3 linked regions of the Arabidopsis thaliana genome follow. The protein of the gene in region 3 interacts with the protein of the main gene of each other region in a pairwise test. Each region holds a gene or a part of one and is shown on either strand. Other genes may lie near its edges.

Region 1 (5,490 bases), on a different chromosome or scaffold from region 3:
TCTAGCAGCAAGGGCAAAAGGGTCAAATTTCAGCTGAAAAGACAAAACGTGAAAACCACTTTTCACTTTGTCAATCTCTGAAAATAAAACATGGTCAAAGGGTGTGGTCCGCAAATTACCCTTTATAATACCATGTCAATGTGAACAAAAGAAGAAGAATAATGTGTTGGTCATGAGAAGAAGATATGACAAATCTATCTAGTTTTCGAAATAGCGCACTACCAGTTAGACAAAAATGAAGTCTAGTAGAGCAGGCATGAAGCCAACATGTCAAATACATACTTGGGGCCTATGGTGGTGCGGTCTAAACATTTAACTAGTGTTTGTGACATATTGTTTCAAGGCTTATAGTTTTGCCAAAGGGAAGGAAGTAATAGAATAACTGAAGACTTCTCTTGGCTTGTGATTGAGTTGTAAAAAGCAGGGGCTGGGCTTGGCCTCCTAGGGGAATCCAGACACTAGAAAAACAATCGTCGATGGAACTCTCAACTAAGGGAAATCCACACTCAATACTACTTGAAGAATCTAGGACGAAGCAAAGGGACCAAAAGACACATTTTTGAAACCCTCTTTTCTTCACGAGACTTTATCTTAAATGGACCCGAATATGGTCTTTGGTTTGAGTGCAGCTTCGGGTGGCTATGGTCCGGTCTTCAGCAGTATGGGACCTTGCGAGGACCACTAAGGCTGGTCATATGAGTCTTGGACTGAACCGGTTGGACTTTATCAACTATAAAATAAAATTATGTATAACAGCCAGAAAAAAAAAACAATAATATAGCCTACATAACGATTTAGAATCCAAATAGGTAACATCAATGATCTACAAAACTTCAGTCCTGGTTAAAGCAAAAGAGTCTAACTCAGAGAAATAACATATTAAGATTACGACACAACTTGGAGCCAGCAGATTTACATGGTACACTACCACGAAAGAGGTTCACTGTTTTAGGGAACAAACATAGAGAGAATAACAAAACTAAAAAGAAGTAAATAAAGAGTTCTTTGCTTCTTCAACAAGCAACTAAAACCAAAACACACTAACTTCAAGACTCCTATTATTACTACTACTTCTTCTGCTGCTGCTGCTGCTTCATCATTAAGATTCCTTGTGCCACACTCTTTCAATTCCCATCATCTGATGATTTCAAGTAAAGGGTTTCTCCACCATCCCCTGAACTTCCTCCTCTGCCTTCACCGCCACCACCACTTCCCATTTCCGGCTTCCCACGGCCAAAATCATGAAACCCACCAGCCTCTCCCTGAAGGATATGGAGACCACTGCTTCCTCCTCCTCCGCTGCTCGAGCTCATTCCAAGCTGGCTATGGTGCAATTGCTGATGCTGAAGCGTCGCGTAAGGCTGCTGCTGCTGCTGTTGCTGAGCATACAACATTGAAGATCGAGCCGCCATTAGAGACTGCTGAGTCATCTGTTGCTGTTGAGTCGCTTGTTGCTGCTGCAAATAGTGTGACCCTCCTTCTCCCTGAATCATCCCACCACCAGCAGATCCATACTAATAACCAAACAAAACAAATCACTTTCTCAATTGATCATACAACAAAATTTGGAATACTTCACTGTATAAACAATCACCTGGCTATGCACACTTGGTGGCTGAGGCTGAGAATCTGCTATTGCAGCTAGGTACATTAGGTTGCGTTGAAGCCTTGCTTGATTCCTATAACCATTTTAATCATCATTTCTTGTTACTCAACAGAACACAAGTGAAATCATAAAGGAGATATGTTGTCTCTTACTCGGCGCATTCGCTAAGCTTTCCAGAGTTTTGAGACTCAACAATCTTCAGAATCAACGATTTGTTTTCGTCCAAGTACTACAATCAAACATTTTCATTAATCATTACTAATGCTACAAACAAAAAATTTGCATACTATTTTGTTTTTGTTGTAATAAAGACATAGAAAATCTCAAAAGGAGACCCCAGTAACTTAAATTCCGACTTATCTCAAAAGACAATAATGTTGAAATATCACAAAAGTGTAACGAAAGATTTTCTTCGAAAAGATTTTGAGGACCACACAAAAAAAAAACTGAGATAAGGACCAGATGTTGTTTCGGACCACAAAGTATATCTGGTCATGTAAGCAATAAAAGAAACACTTGGACTGGAAAATACACATAGATCTACTTATAATGATAACAAATCTAAACAGGACCACCCACAATATTCACATAAATGGCTTTGTGGTTTTTGCCATCAATGAAACTTCCAGAACCCGAAAACCAAGACAAGAAGAAAAAACGAGATATGTGAAACAAATCTTCAGTTCCCAAGATTTGTCTGTTTTGAACACGTTATTTTTCATTACATGTTTCAAGAACTCAAAACACAACTGGACCCTAAACATTCATTTTCATTGAAAGAAAGAATCTTTCTTAACTTTGTCTGGTTTTAGACATTTAATTAGCATCAAAGTTAACTGATAATACACCAAATCTATAAGGAAAAGAAAAAAAGTTGAAAGAATCATCTTAGTGACCAAAGCATCTCTACCAACCAAATTTATCAAACATAAACACACATGTATTAAAACTAATTTCTCTATGAAAAAAAAAGACATGGAAACAAGAATAACAAGAACTCTTTTACCAAACAAAAAAGAACCAATGAAAAAAAATCATCTATGTTATGAGAACAGAAGAAAAGGGTTTCACATACTTTTTTATATAATATAAAGAAAAAGTTATAAGGTACTTGCAAGAGAGATTTCTTCACTTTCCTTTATGAATTCAAAGAAACATATAATAAAGAAAAAAGAAAGAGATAATATAATAGAAGAAGAAGGAGAAGGAGGAGAAGGAGAAGAGAACCTGTTGGATATGATCAGAGGTAACATTGCTGGGGTAGTAACCAGCCATCATGGGCTGCATCTGCATCAGGTGCTGTTGCATTTCTTTTGCTATTTTATATAAAACCTGATAATTCCTTCTTATTTATTTATATATTTTATATATATAAGTTTTTATAGAGACAACCCCCACCACAAAACCCAGAGGAAAAAGAGAAGTCTCACCAAGTGAGAGAGAGAGATATTAACTTTTGTATCTGTCTCTCTCTCTTTCCTCTATGCTTCTGTATATAGAAAACTCTTAACTATTGAAGATGTGTATCTCTGTGTGTGTGTTATCTCGCTTTCTCTCCTCCACAAAAGTTGTTTTGCGTTAAAAGACTGAGAGAGACAGTGAAGTCTCTTAAATAGAAAGAGAGAGAGAGAAGAGAAGAGAGTGTTTTTCTCTTTTTCTTGGGTTTTGGGGTTTGGTTTTGTTGGTTTCTTTCTGTCTCATCCTATCTCTGTCTCTGCGAAGAAGAGGAGGTCACGTGACGAGTCATACTTTATTATAGAGACGTGAGACCTTTACATATATACTACTACTTATCAATATGTACACATTGTTGATTAAATTATTACTTTGAAGTTTGAACCCTTCGTATATAGAGACGTAACTATATACCAAATAATACTGTTTACTCCTTCGTATGTATATACGGTGTATTTACTTGTATATATATGTAATTATGTATATTAAAATCTCTTACAACTTTTGTATAATATTTTCTACATTTATAGATTCATTTCGGGATTTTATAATAAAGTAATGCAAAGTAGGATTTATTGTTTTCTAGATTGTTTTGGTAATTTATTGTTTTCTAGTTTTCTAGTTTTCTTTTACTATATCAAAGAATATTTTTGTCGTCTTATTTTGTTTTGGTAATTAATATATAAAAAAAAGATGTCTTTAGTTTTTCGAAAAATAAGATTCATGTATTTACATTTTAATATAAAAAAATGTTCTACATAGGAGTTTTTAACCTAGTGGATTGAATTTGTATTTTTTTAATAATTTATTATATTTAGTTTTACACAACATTTTTTTTACAATGGTTTAATTTTTTATCATGAGAGGTCACATCTAGATGCGATTCTTCACATTTAAAATAAAATGGATTAATGAAAAAATTAGATTAAGAAGTAGCTATGTGAGATAATTTTCTTTGTAGATGTTTGATTGTGTTGATCAAAAGAGTCTCTTCTCTCTTATACCTTAAAATCATATTTATAGGATTTAATCTCAACCAAATTACTGAATTATGTTGTGACTTAGTCTTCTTATGCGGATTAGATTTGGCATAACTAGTTCCCTAGAACATGTTATCAAAACAAGTGTGTTTGGTTTGTTAGCTTAATGATGTTTTTCATTTTGTTTTAAAAGTAGCGCATGACTCGTCTCGTCTCATCACTAACCATCTTTATGTGTTTTGGCAAAATGCCAAAATGTAAACACATTTCTTACGCTTACCAATAGTTATCTTCTTTTTTTTTTTGGTCTTTTTTTTTTATCGAATCACGTAACACATTATAATTGACTGATATCTTAATAGATGAAATTTATCCTCAACAATGATCAATACATGTTTCTTTTTTTTTACATATGTTAATACTAACTCGATCACTTGTCTCGACCAATAAGACGAGTTATCGACCATCAAAACACTGCCCTAACTTGGTTTGAATGTTTAATATTGATGATTCTCAACCAAAGGGTCTCTAAAGTTTTTGAAATGCTTTTGTAAAGAAAATAATAATAATTAGTTTGGAGTTATTTGATAAGTCTCATTAACTTTTTGTTCGAATTCTTGAAGTACGTTTCGATGGTCGGTAATTTAAAAAGAAAAAGATTCAACAGCTATATTATCTTTGCGTGGTTATACTTAATTCCACGTTAAACCCTCTTGTAGATGTGGTTAAATATTAATTAACACTTTATTCGTTGGTACCAAAAATGGATCCGAGATATTCCTTCTGCATATATGAACCACGGAGGCTCAACTTTTAATGTTTGTTTGTTTAACTATAGTATTATGTATGAACATTAAAGTAATCTGTAAGGATAAATGAATTGTTTTCTTTTCCCGATTAATTATGTCTTATAGACAATAACCAAACCAATAGTGTTTCTATGCCATCTAAAAGCAAACCAAAAACACTAGGAACAAAACTAAAAATACCATTTCTTCTTTTTTATCAGACCAATATAGTTGTTTGCATACTGTAAATTGAGATTATGAAGTTAAAGGTAGGATTCTGAAACGCTTACAAATGATCAATTCATTTTGGTTAATACCTAAAAGAAATATTAAATTTTTACGACATTAATTTTATACTACCTTATTTTCTATATAACAGCCATAAATTTTATAGTTAATGTGAGGTTGATGTTGAATCCTCTTACATAGAGAAAAGTGTTGCAGCAACTTGTAACTTATTATTGTACTATCTTTGACCGATTAATATGAATATTCACCAAGATATTGGAGAACTTATAAATAATGAAACTTGCAGTTTTTGAGCTGAGATATTTTGTGGTTCTGGGATACATGAAATTACGTACTAAAATTTCTTAGTAACAATAAATGAAATGTTATACGTATAAAGTGGAATCACGTTGAACAAGAATATGTGCGTCGA
Region 2 (5,682 bases), 570 kb from region 3:
TAGTCTTTGGAAACTTGAGCAGAATCTAGAAGATGCTTGAACTTGATTGTGTCGTTTTTTTCTTTTATTGGAGACGATGTTGATATTTTAATGTTTTGATAATGTCAGGACAGAGACAAGAATTTAGCAAATGGTGCGATTGCAAATCTTGTGGATGAAGTTGGTGGAGCACTTGTACATGGCGAAGGCTTACCTATGAGTGTTTCAGTGGACATGTCTATTGCATTCCTTTCAAAAGCTAAGCTTGGTGTAAGTCTGCTCAAGTCTTTTTTCAATCTGTACTTTGGGACTGTTTGTTTGCTATAGAAATGGATTGAGAGATATGATATTGAAATGGAAATGAATTTTCAGGAGGAGTTGGAGATAACGTCGAGATTGTTAGGAGAGAGAGGAGGTTATAAAGGAACAATCGTTGTAGTCAGAAACAAGATGACCGGGGAGATTATAGCGGAAGGTCGACATTCTATGTTTGGTAGACAAGCTAGTAAGCTCTGAGTCCAACTTTTAAGTCTTGTATCACTGTAATGTCTGTTTTCAATAATAAGATTATGGTTAGGTAAATTTGGTTAGGTCCTTTGTTCTTTCTGGTTGTGAATCTAAAACCTTGGTACATAGCTTATAAAGATCAAACCATTCAGTAACTGTGATAGTTATGTTGATGAGGATGGTATGATATGTCTCATCTATACAACATTGAAAGCTGTTTAAAGAGGAATTTGAAGAAGCTTCAAGAGAATTTTGTTGTCTATGGTTTCAGCTTGGATTTAATGTGTATGTTGGATTATCAAAAATTCAAAATTATAATGTCAACAAGAGTCTACAACTACTGTAACAATTCTCTTCTCTTACATTGGAAACTAATTTTAAATAGCAGAAGCAAAAAGTCAAAATGTAGATATGGCCGGAAATTCGCACTACATTTTAACTGACAACGGTTCCTATTGAGACGAACCAGTAGTAACAGCAGCATCAGCAGATTGCTGAGAGGATCCTGAAGGTGCTGCAGACACAGAGTCAGGTGGTGGAGCAGAGACTGAACTTGGATGTGGAGGATTAGGCCTTGAACCGGGACCTGGTTGTTGTGGGTAATCATGATCAGCTTGTTGTGAATGGCCATGGTGGTAAGGAGGATACTGCTGGTAAGGTGGTTGCATATATCCTCCATATGATGGTGGCGGGTATGGCTGGTGCTGAGGATAGTGGCCATGTGGTGGCATAGTGTAAGAAGAAGAAGAAGCTCCTCTGTTGTCACTGGTGCTTGAACCGCTTTCTTTGGACGAACTAACTGCACCCATTCTCTGAGGGTCCATTGATGGGTAAAATGGTCTGTCTTGATGAGGAGGTTGTGGTGGTGGTGGGTGCATATAGTATTGTAGCATTGGTGGAGGTTGATTCTGTTGCTGAGATATAACTGCTCGAGGTAGTAAACCACTATGAGCCACACTGCCCTGTTGGTTAGAACCATCTTGATCAGGTTTGGGAACCTGAGGTCTTCCCCATGTGAGTTTTAGCCTCTGACCGTTGACAACTAGCCTGTTACTGAGCTCTTCTGCAGCTTTCTCTGCTCCTTCTCGGGTTGTGTAAGTGACAAACGCACATGCTTTCTCAGCCAAGATTCTGATGGATTCGATTTCTCCATGGGCGTAGAATTGATCACGAATGTCTTGCTCAAGGACTCTCGAGTTTAGCCCACCAACATAAAGCGTTCTGATGCTTTGATCCTCTGGAGATTCCAAAGTACCCATCTCCCCAGCCTTGCCAAGTAACTTCAACGCAACTGGATCGTTTACACTGCAGGAAGTGAAGAATAAGATGAGAAAACAGTTCCAATATCACCAAAATAACAGCCAGTTTACGCACACAAACTGATGTATTTTTCATAACTCTCTTTCATGATATACCAAAGCAAGAAATTGAGGAGTAACTCAATATTATCATACTCAAACAAAATGAAAGTTAGAAGTATGCTTACCCATAATAACGGTCTTTAATGTTCTGCTGGGATAACTCTCCTGTTTCAGGCATCTCATGACGGTATGGACACTCATCACCTCTTGTACACTCTCCCCTAATGAAGAAACTACAAATATGAGCTCGGTTCCTTTTGTAGTAAGGCGTTGTCCTTTGAAGCATACGAATGGTATCGTTGGGCCGAATCTTCCCAAAAGAAGACTCATAATCTAGTCCAGCTCTCGTCTACACAAGAAAACAAAACCATTTCAATAGGCCATTACAAAGTAGAGAAACTGTATAGCCAAATCTCAAACCAATCAATACTCAAATAATATAACTAGTTAGAACGCAGAGTCACCATACCTTTCGATCATGCTCTTCAGCGAAAAACTCTCGGTTCACATCACTTTTTGGGATAGAATCATGAGTACTAATGTTGAGCGCCGTGTCTCTGACCTGAACTGGAAGACCATACTCAAGATCCAAGAGACAAACTTGGCACACATTCTTCAACTTGCAACATGTCTGACAAACTTCAGTCTTCTTGTATCTCGCATCCCTACCAGGTCGCCATCTGAAAACCGTGAAAGGCCGGGTACAGATCTTACACTCTTTATCGTAATTCGCCTTTGTCTACATACCAAACAACAACAATAAATCAATCAATCAATCAAACATGAAGCTGCACATCACTACCAGACATAACATGAGACAGTATTCAATGAATTACATTCCCTCTAAGCAAATTTGATCAGAACAAACCAAAGATATCATTTTGAACTACAACTCCATGAATTCTGATTTTTACCAAAGGTTATGAATTGTATATTAAATCGCTTAAACCCTAAAATCTCAAATCACTAAAATTGCAGCTTCAACACTAAGAAACATAAAAGCATTAAACAAGCTCGAAAATGGACAAATGAAAGGAGATCTTAATAAAGACACATGAATGTTAAAAAAAAATCTAGCTAAAGGCAAGGAAATCGAATTTGTTTGAGGAGAAACATAGGAAGCGAAGAATATACCATTCTCACGTAAGGATTGTCACCGAGACAAGACTCACAGATGATTGGGAAATCAGAACGTTCCCATCCATCAGCCTCGTGATCTCTCAGTATTCTATGCGCCATTTCCTAATTCTCTTCCTTCCTCAATGATTTCTGGATTTCTTCTTCAGTCTCGAACACGAAGATTACCTTGAAGAGCAGATTTGCTCTCGTTTCGATTTTTTCGGGAATCTTTAATATTACAGCTGCTGTTGGGCCGAATGTTTGTTTGGCCCAATTTAAACCCATGAAATAAGAAAGCTTAAAGTGATGGTGGTGTACTGAAATAAACAATACGGACTCACACAGATGATAATTCATCGTCACACACAGGCGGGAACAAAAATACCCTAAAATCGCTAAATGGCGCCACAAAATCTCAGCTTATAATATCACTTCCCGCTAACAATTGCAATCTCCTCCCAGAAATTTCAACAGCTCTAAAAACCCTAACCGTTTCGATTCACACTCTAACCTTTCGATAATTTCCCAGAAGATGTTGGAGCTTCGTTTAGTTCAAGGTTCTCTACTGAAGAAGGTTCTAGAAGCGGTCAAAGATCTGGTGAACGATGCGAACTTCGACTGTTCGACCACAGGGTTCTCGCTTCAAGCTATGGATTCGAGCCATGTCGCGTTGGTGTCTCTTTTGCTTAGATCTGAAGGTTTCGAGCACTATAGATGCGATAGGAACCTCTCTATGGGAATGAATCTTGGTAATATGTCTAAGATGCTGAAATGTGCTGGAAATGATGATATCATCACCATCAAAGCTGATGATGGTAGCGACACTGTTACTTTCATGTTTGAGAGTCCCAGTAAGTTCTTCAAATCGATTTTTGTTTGTTAGGGCTTTGGTTTTGTTGTCAATGTTGATGCTATTGGTGACCTGATTCTGTGTTTATAGGTTTGATTTGCCAGAAGCTAGAATATGATTGTAGAGAATGATTCAGTCCATTTCTTGAAAGCTTTAGTTTGTAAGAGATGAAAGAGAAGATAAAATCTATGTTAATAGAGGGTTTTTGGTTTGGAATAAGGTTTGATATGGCTTTGTTTTTGTGTAGTTAATGATGTTATTAGTGATCTGAACTGTTATTTATAGGTTTCATTTGACAGAAACTAGAACTTGCTTGATGAGAATGAGTCCTTCCATTTTTGTTTTCAGAATAGGTATAGTCTCTAGCTTAAAGACTATAGTTTGAAAGTGAATAGAGTTTCTTGATTTAGTGAAAGTTAACAGAGGAACTTTGTTTGATATTGACTATGTGGTGTTAATCTCATTATTTAAATGGTGTTGATGATGCAGCACAAGACAAGATTGCAGATTTTGAGATGAAGCTGATGGATATCGACAGTGAGCATTTAGGAATTCCTGATGCTGAGTACCACTCGATTGTGAGAATGCCTTCTGGTGAATTTTCCAGGATATGCAAAGATCTCAGTAGCATTGGTGACACAGGTAAATGAACTGTTTGTTTATTTGGTGTATCACTGCGAGGATTCTCTAATCATGATTCTGGTTTTGATGTTATGATTTTGCAGTTGTGATCTCGGTAACAAAAGAAGGGGTGAAGTTTTCAACAGCAGGTGATATCGGGACAGCAAACATTGTGCTCAGGCAGAATACTACCGTCGACAAAGTATGAACAATCACTAGTCATCTAGAGAGATTTGTTTAATAATCTGTCCAATACAATGTTGAAGTGACCTTATGTTTGTATGTGTGTTTTGCAGCCTGAAGATGCTATTGTGATAGAGATGAACGAGCCTGTTTCGCTTTCATTTGCATTGAGGTACATGAACTCCTTCACAAAGGCTACTCCATTGTCGGAAACTGTGACCATCAGTTTGTCCTCTGAGTTACCGGTCGTGGTGGAGTACAAGGTGGCTGAGATGGGTTACATTCGATACTATCTGGCGCCTAAGATTGAAGAAGAAGAAGACACCAAACCAGAATAATGATGAATGTTTGATAGTCTTCGTTCGAGTCCTTTGTTGAAATGTCTGTCTTGATTCAGTTGTTTTCTGGATTTACTATCTTAAGGCAATGCTAAACTAGATAATCGTATGATGTTTGTCTTTCTGAAATTTGGAAAAGCTTGTTTATAACACTTTTCATCTGTTTGTTAAACATTGAAGAAAAAGAAGACACGAAGCCCTAAAACACGTTTGTTTGTGGCTTCTGCAACCTCACGAACTAGTGTTGATTGATGTTTTTGGATGCTTTTACAATTTGTAAAAAACATGTTTAACACTCTTTACTTCTGTTTGTTCTTAAATTTGGCAAAAACAACAAAAAATTTGAACTTTCAAGACACAAGAATTTGTCTGCGTGAGAAATAGACTCGAGAACAATGAAGTAAGACGAGAAGTGTAACAATTAATATCACATGTGCATTTTGTTTAGAGAGATAGCTTCCAATCTTCTCCAGCATACACTGCTTGATCCCCAAGCTCTTCCTCTATCCGTAGCAACTGCAGGAACATTTCAACAGTGATTCAGCTTTTTAATAAAGTAGTTTCTACAATGAAATGAGAACACTATCTAGCAACTAAATGTACATGGCTGCTCCAAACTCAATCATTATGGATCTATAAGCTGAGGCTGCATTAGCCAAAAGTTGAAGAAACTGAAACTTAGCCTAGGTTGCTAAAGATTCACATACCACAACATAACTCAGCT
Region 3 (5,195 bases):
ATATTGTTTGGCGTATCCGATATAGTTTTATGAAGGGTGTTTGATTTTGATTGTACCGGTTTGCTCTACCGCATTCCTGTCTGTTGGTTTAGGTTTGTTGGGTTACACTTACATATAGTACAATCCTTTTGTAACAAAACTGTAGATGGAAGTTGTAATCCTTTTGTTGAACTCTTCTAATAATCCAAGCACAATCCATAATCAAAAGGCCAAAGTAGTCATTCTCGCAGTAGATGACTTTTAAAAGTACGAACATTCTGTAGCTTTTAACGTCTTGTATAAAAATGATGATCATCGTTGGGAAAAATATTAATGATCATCATGTGACAACAAAGTACAAACTCCTTTAACCTAAATATATTATCATGTATTTCATCAAACCAAATATATGTACATATATATATACTATATGTAAAAGTGCCAAAAAGTGATAAATGTCATTCTCTATATAGCCCGCCTATCTATATGACTAAAACAATTATTTCAAGATGAATTATAGAAAAATCTTCTGTCAAACCCAATTAGACCAAGTAAAGCAGACTAAACTATCGAGATCCTTTGGTATCACTGTCACAAAGCATTGAATACTCAATAGCAACTTTTTCATAAAAATCCCAAATTTGTAATAAATTTGACTTTTCTATTAAATAGTCGCAACTTTTTAGCAAGCTAAGCTATATTACAAAAGAAAATTGGTATCTGCACAGATGATAATGAACACCTTTTTCTTCATTACTCATGTAATACGACCTATGCTTTTAACGTTCTTCAATTACTCTTTACTTAACCGAAGAAATAGAAACCGCAAGTAAAAACCAGAAAATTCAAACTCACTCGTAGAACAAAAATATGAGATTACAATATCCCAGCCTAACGCCAGTACTAAACCAAAACACACATAAAACCCATCTTTTCAAATATCACAATCTTGATGATCAATGCAAAGATGATAAGAAACAAACAAGCAAAATTGAATAATAATAACAAACACTAAATGAGTAATAATAGTCTTGAATCATAAATATATGGATAGATGGTAATACTAATTAATATAGCGCTTACTCTAGCTCCATTCATCACATTAATTTCCTCCTTCTTGTTCAATGCATGTCATCATGAATTTGAACCTCCATGGTTGTCTGAAAGAAATACATGTGGTAATTTAATTATGAAAGATTTAATTATTGTCTGGTTTCTTGATTAATAACCTATTATACTTAAAATATATAAATACATTAAAAAGAAGAAGCAAACCTTAGTTTAGAGGTGTGAGTTTGGAGGAGAAGAAGAAGAGTTTGGTTGAGTAGCTTCTTCTCCGTGGAGTAGTCTTGTAGTGTTGGGGAAACTAAGGCCTTGCATCATCATCATCCCATGAGAACCATACTGTGATGATGAAGCAAACATCGAAGAAGCTTGATTCTGATGATGATGATGATCCGACGTCGTTTGATGATGATCCCAAGAACGAAACGAATGAGGGAATAAACTGGACTGAAGGGTACCCCTTTGTTGTTGTTGTTGTTGGCCACCAAGAAACACTTGTTGTTGCTGACTATTAAGCAATGTCATCATCGACGGTTGATGATGATGATGGTGAGGATGATGATTCACCATGAAACCACCATTACTCCTTTCTTCTTGTTCTTGTTGTTGATGTTCTGATGAGGATGATGACGTCATAGTTAAGTCGTGATGATTCCATCCAGAGATTCTCCCGAACGTGTCGAAATGAGTCGTGGTGAAATTGTTGGTCTCGGGAACTACGACTGTGTTGTTGTTCCCTTGAAATGGGTGAAGAGAGAGACCAAGATCTTGGCTAAGGTTTGGTGGTGGTGTTGTTGTTCTTGAGACCATGTTGTTGTCATCCTGATGAGGGTAGTTTTGGAAATTGATGTTTGTACCACCACCACCGTTTGTTGTTGTCGTCGCCGGGAAAAACGTTTTCATTGCGTCTTCAGGATCAAGATTGGCCGCCACGAACTGCGTTTGGTCATTGTTCTCTCTTTGGAAAACCAAAGTGGGAGATTCCGGTTTAGTATTCACCGGTTCTTGACGAGTAGTAGTAGTAGTAGTCTCCCCGAGTTCAAGCTTATCAATAGCGGTTTTGGCTTTCTTGATGAGCCAATCAACGGCTTTGCTAGGCCGGTCATAACCTAACCGGTCTTGCACATCGTAGAATTGAATCGCCGTGTGAGCTGAGAGTCTCACGCGCCGGTCACGTGGACCCTTTGATGTGAACACTTTGCTATGACGGTCTTTGCGTCCAGTGGCTCGGATTATGTGACCGCCTTGAACCTCAACTATCTCTCCTCCTCCTTCTCCGACGCTATATCCTTTAAGTCCCATTATTTTTTTACCTTTCAAAATGACATTCCAAGAGTTGTTTTAACTTGGAAGAAAAACTTGCGTGCCGTTTTTGTTGCCCACTTGCTTTGTTTACCTCTTCAAAATGCTTGCCGTTTTGTTGTTATTGTGGTGTTTGGTGTGTAGTGAGTTAATAACATCTGATGCAGGCTGGACACAGCTACCTGAAAGCTGCTACAAGAAGCAACTCTTCTATGCAGATCCCCAAAAGATCTGCCATGGCAGTCACAAGATTCAATGACCCAACATACCCAAATCAAAAAAGGGAAAAAATGAAGAAATATTTAGAAGAAAAGAGATTGGAATCTTTAGTCTAGGGTTTTCCCAAAGAGATGAGAATTTGGACAACAAAATTGATATTAAAAATAAAAGAGCGAGAGAGAGAGAGAGAGAGAGAGAGAGATGCTACTTTAATATATTGATATGTTTAGTTGGTCTAAAATCGAAGGACAAGAAGAAGAAGAGGAAAAAAAAGAGAGAGAGTATACTATTAGATTGTTGGTGGAAAGGATAGCAGAAGTTAAGGGTTCAGAATAGGAAAGTAAACTAAATAAATACCCTTTTGCTTTCAACCTTTTGTTCCTTATTATAAGATTCCTATTTCACATATCAACATGTGTCCTTGTTAAGTTCTTAGCCACATATTTGTTTATTTCAAATTTTTTTGTTACAGAAAAATTCCTCAATCATTATTCTTCAATCATGCGTGCCATATCGAATTCTTGAAACATACATAACTATATATATCATATAATAAGGAATATAGGAAAATTGAAAAACATCAATAAATGAACATATATCATATCTTAGTTACACCAATTTGTAATATTTTGTTTGGTTAATGTCAAATCCTCCTTCACTAATTAATTAAAACTTGAAAAGCATATGTTTCACACAACATACACACACATTGGTCGGCTTAGGATTACATGCTAATCAAAGTCGACAATGGAATAATTTGACTCTAGTATGATTTTTTTTTTTGGTAAGCTGAGGGGTGGCAATTGCCTACCCCAATTTATTAAGAACAAACTACAAAAAATTACAATAAAACAGCTCGAGGGAACTCTGTTCCATTAACATCTGCGAGCAAAAGTAAACGGACTCCCTCTGGGCATGCATCAAAACAATGAAGCCCTAGCGGCAAGGTAAAGGCATAGTTTGCTAACCCGTCAGCGAGACGGTTAGCTTCCCTATACACGTGTGACACACGGACTAACCAGTCCCTCGTAAAGAAGCCTTGGCACAACCGTACCAGGAAGGACAGCGGATGAGCGTTGCTTACCCCTGTGCTTAAAAAACCCACCACCAACTTGCAATCCAAGTCTAACTCCACTCGTCGAAACCCCTTGTCCCACGCAATGAGCAGCCCATAGTAGGCGCCCCATAACTCGGCTAATGGCGCTGCACAAGATCCAATGTTTAGTGCAAAACCACCTAGCCACTCCCCCTGCCCATTCCGGATGGCCCCTCCTGCCGCAGCCAGCCCGTGATTCCCACGGGACGCTCCATCCGTGGTAATTTTCACCCACCCATCGCTTGGAACCTGCCACCTGATCATTCTTTCCACCCGCACACCATTAGGCCGGTTACCAACAGCACCAACATGTACTCTCCTCACCTCCTCCGCCATGTCTTTGATGAACTTCAGCCTGTCCCGACAAATCTTTCGTTCCCCAAACACATCACAACACCTCCACTTCCAAGCCCACCAAATTCCCATACCAAAAAGAGTAGGCCAAATCCCCTTTACTGGATCCATATTTGTAAATAACCACTCCAATAAAGACTGGCTAAAAAACTCATGATGTCGTCTCAGTGGCAGCAACCGACGCCAAATCGGTTCCATAGCGGGGCAGTCACGCAACACATGGAGTATTGTTTCCTCGGCTCCATTACACACCGAACATATAGCATTCTCACTCAAATGGCGCCGGACTCTCTCCACATTAGTCATGATCACATTCTGGCTCACCAACCAAATAAACACCCGTACTCTCTCAGGCGTGATCAGCTTCCAGATTCTGTTAAAGAAGCTCCCCATATTCGGCCTGTCTCCAACGTCACCTTGTAGGAGGGAATACGCAGAGCGGACTGTGAAGGCCCCATCCTGTGTACCCTTCCATGATATCTCGTCTCCATTACCCAGAAAAACCTGAACCACAACCGAGAGCAACCGCCTCTTAACTGTCTCTGGCAGATACAAACCCAGAATTTCCAGGTTCCAACCTGATCCCGGCAACCAATAATCGGCTGCCACCTTTATTCTCTCCCCCTCCGGTATCATATCAGTCCCAAGCTCCACCAACGGCTCCTGCAACAGCCAGCGATCCAACCAGAACCTTATTGTGCACCCATCTCCAGGCACCCATCCAACGCCCTTAACCACCACTTCCCGGAGCCCTACTGCCACACTTCTCCACGTGGAGGACCATCTTGGTTGTGGTTTCAGCCAGCTAGTATCTTGTACTCCACCCACTTTGTACTTTTTGCGAACAACCCGTGCCCATAAGCTCTCTTTATCTTGAAGCAGACGCCACCCCACCTTGGCTACCAAGGCCTTATTCATATCACGAGCAGACCGTAATCCGATCCCTCCCTCAGCTTTCGGCTTACATATCTTACGCCAAGATAGCAAGTGTTGTTTTTTCTTCTCCATAGTACTCCCCCAAAGAAAAGTTCTGGAGTATCTATCCAAAGTATCAAGCGTAGAGACCGGTAAAAGAATCGCACTCATTACATGAACCGGGATAGAAGACAGAACCGCTTTTGTCAGAGTGATTCTCCCTGCCAAGCTCAAAGATCGGCCCTTCCAACCCGCCAACCGAGCT

Evidence for each region.
Region 1: the proteins of TCP10 (region 3) and AN3 interact in binary tests that used the Arabidopsis thaliana proteins (3 or more experiments, as listed by UniProt).
Region 2: the proteins of TCP10 (region 3) and MAC5B interact in binary tests that used the Arabidopsis thaliana proteins (3 or more experiments, as listed by UniProt).

Annotation. Positions count from the first base shown.
Region 1 is NC_003076.8:10,646,707-10,652,196, forward strand, and holds AN3 (SSXT family protein), read right to left. Parts: upstream 3,357-5,490; 5' UTR 2,915-3,356; coding exon 2,834-2,914; exon of another isoform or gene 2,682-2,833; intron 2,670-2,681; exon of another isoform or gene 1,836-2,669; coding exon 1,759-1,835; intron 1,680-1,758; coding exon 1,595-1,679; intron 1,515-1,594; coding exon 1,125-1,514; 3' UTR 761-1,124; downstream 1-760. UniProt on the Arabidopsis thaliana protein: Transcription coactivator that plays a role in the regulation of cell expansion in leaf and cotyledons tissues.
Region 2 is NC_003071.7:12,649,415-12,655,096, reverse strand, and holds MAC5B (CCCH-type zinc fingerfamily protein with RNA-binding domain-containing protein), read right to left. Parts: upstream 3,272-5,682; 5' UTR 3,087-3,271; coding exon 2,982-3,086; intron 2,587-2,981; coding exon 2,317-2,586; intron 2,197-2,316; coding exon 1,973-2,196; intron 1,792-1,972; coding exon 939-1,791; 3' UTR 761-938; downstream 1-760. Other genes in the region: AT2G29590 (Thioesterase superfamily protein), read left to right, coding at 109-249, 352-495; PCNA2 (proliferating cell nuclear antigen 2), read left to right, coding at 3,499-3,817, 4,306-4,458, 4,542-4,639, 4,734-4,958; ENOC (cytosolic enolase), read right to left, coding at 5,403-5,474.
Region 3 is NC_003071.7:13,219,724-13,224,918, forward strand, and holds TCP10 (TCP domain protein 10), read right to left. Parts: upstream 2,887-5,195; 5' UTR 2,347-2,886; coding exon 1,261-2,346; 3' UTR 1,255-1,260; intron 1,140-1,254; 3' UTR 755-1,139; downstream 1-754. UniProt on the Arabidopsis thaliana protein: Plays a pivotal role in the control of morphogenesis of shoot organs by negatively regulating the expression of boundary-specific genes such as CUC genes, probably through the induction of miRNA (e.g. miR164). Participates in ovule development.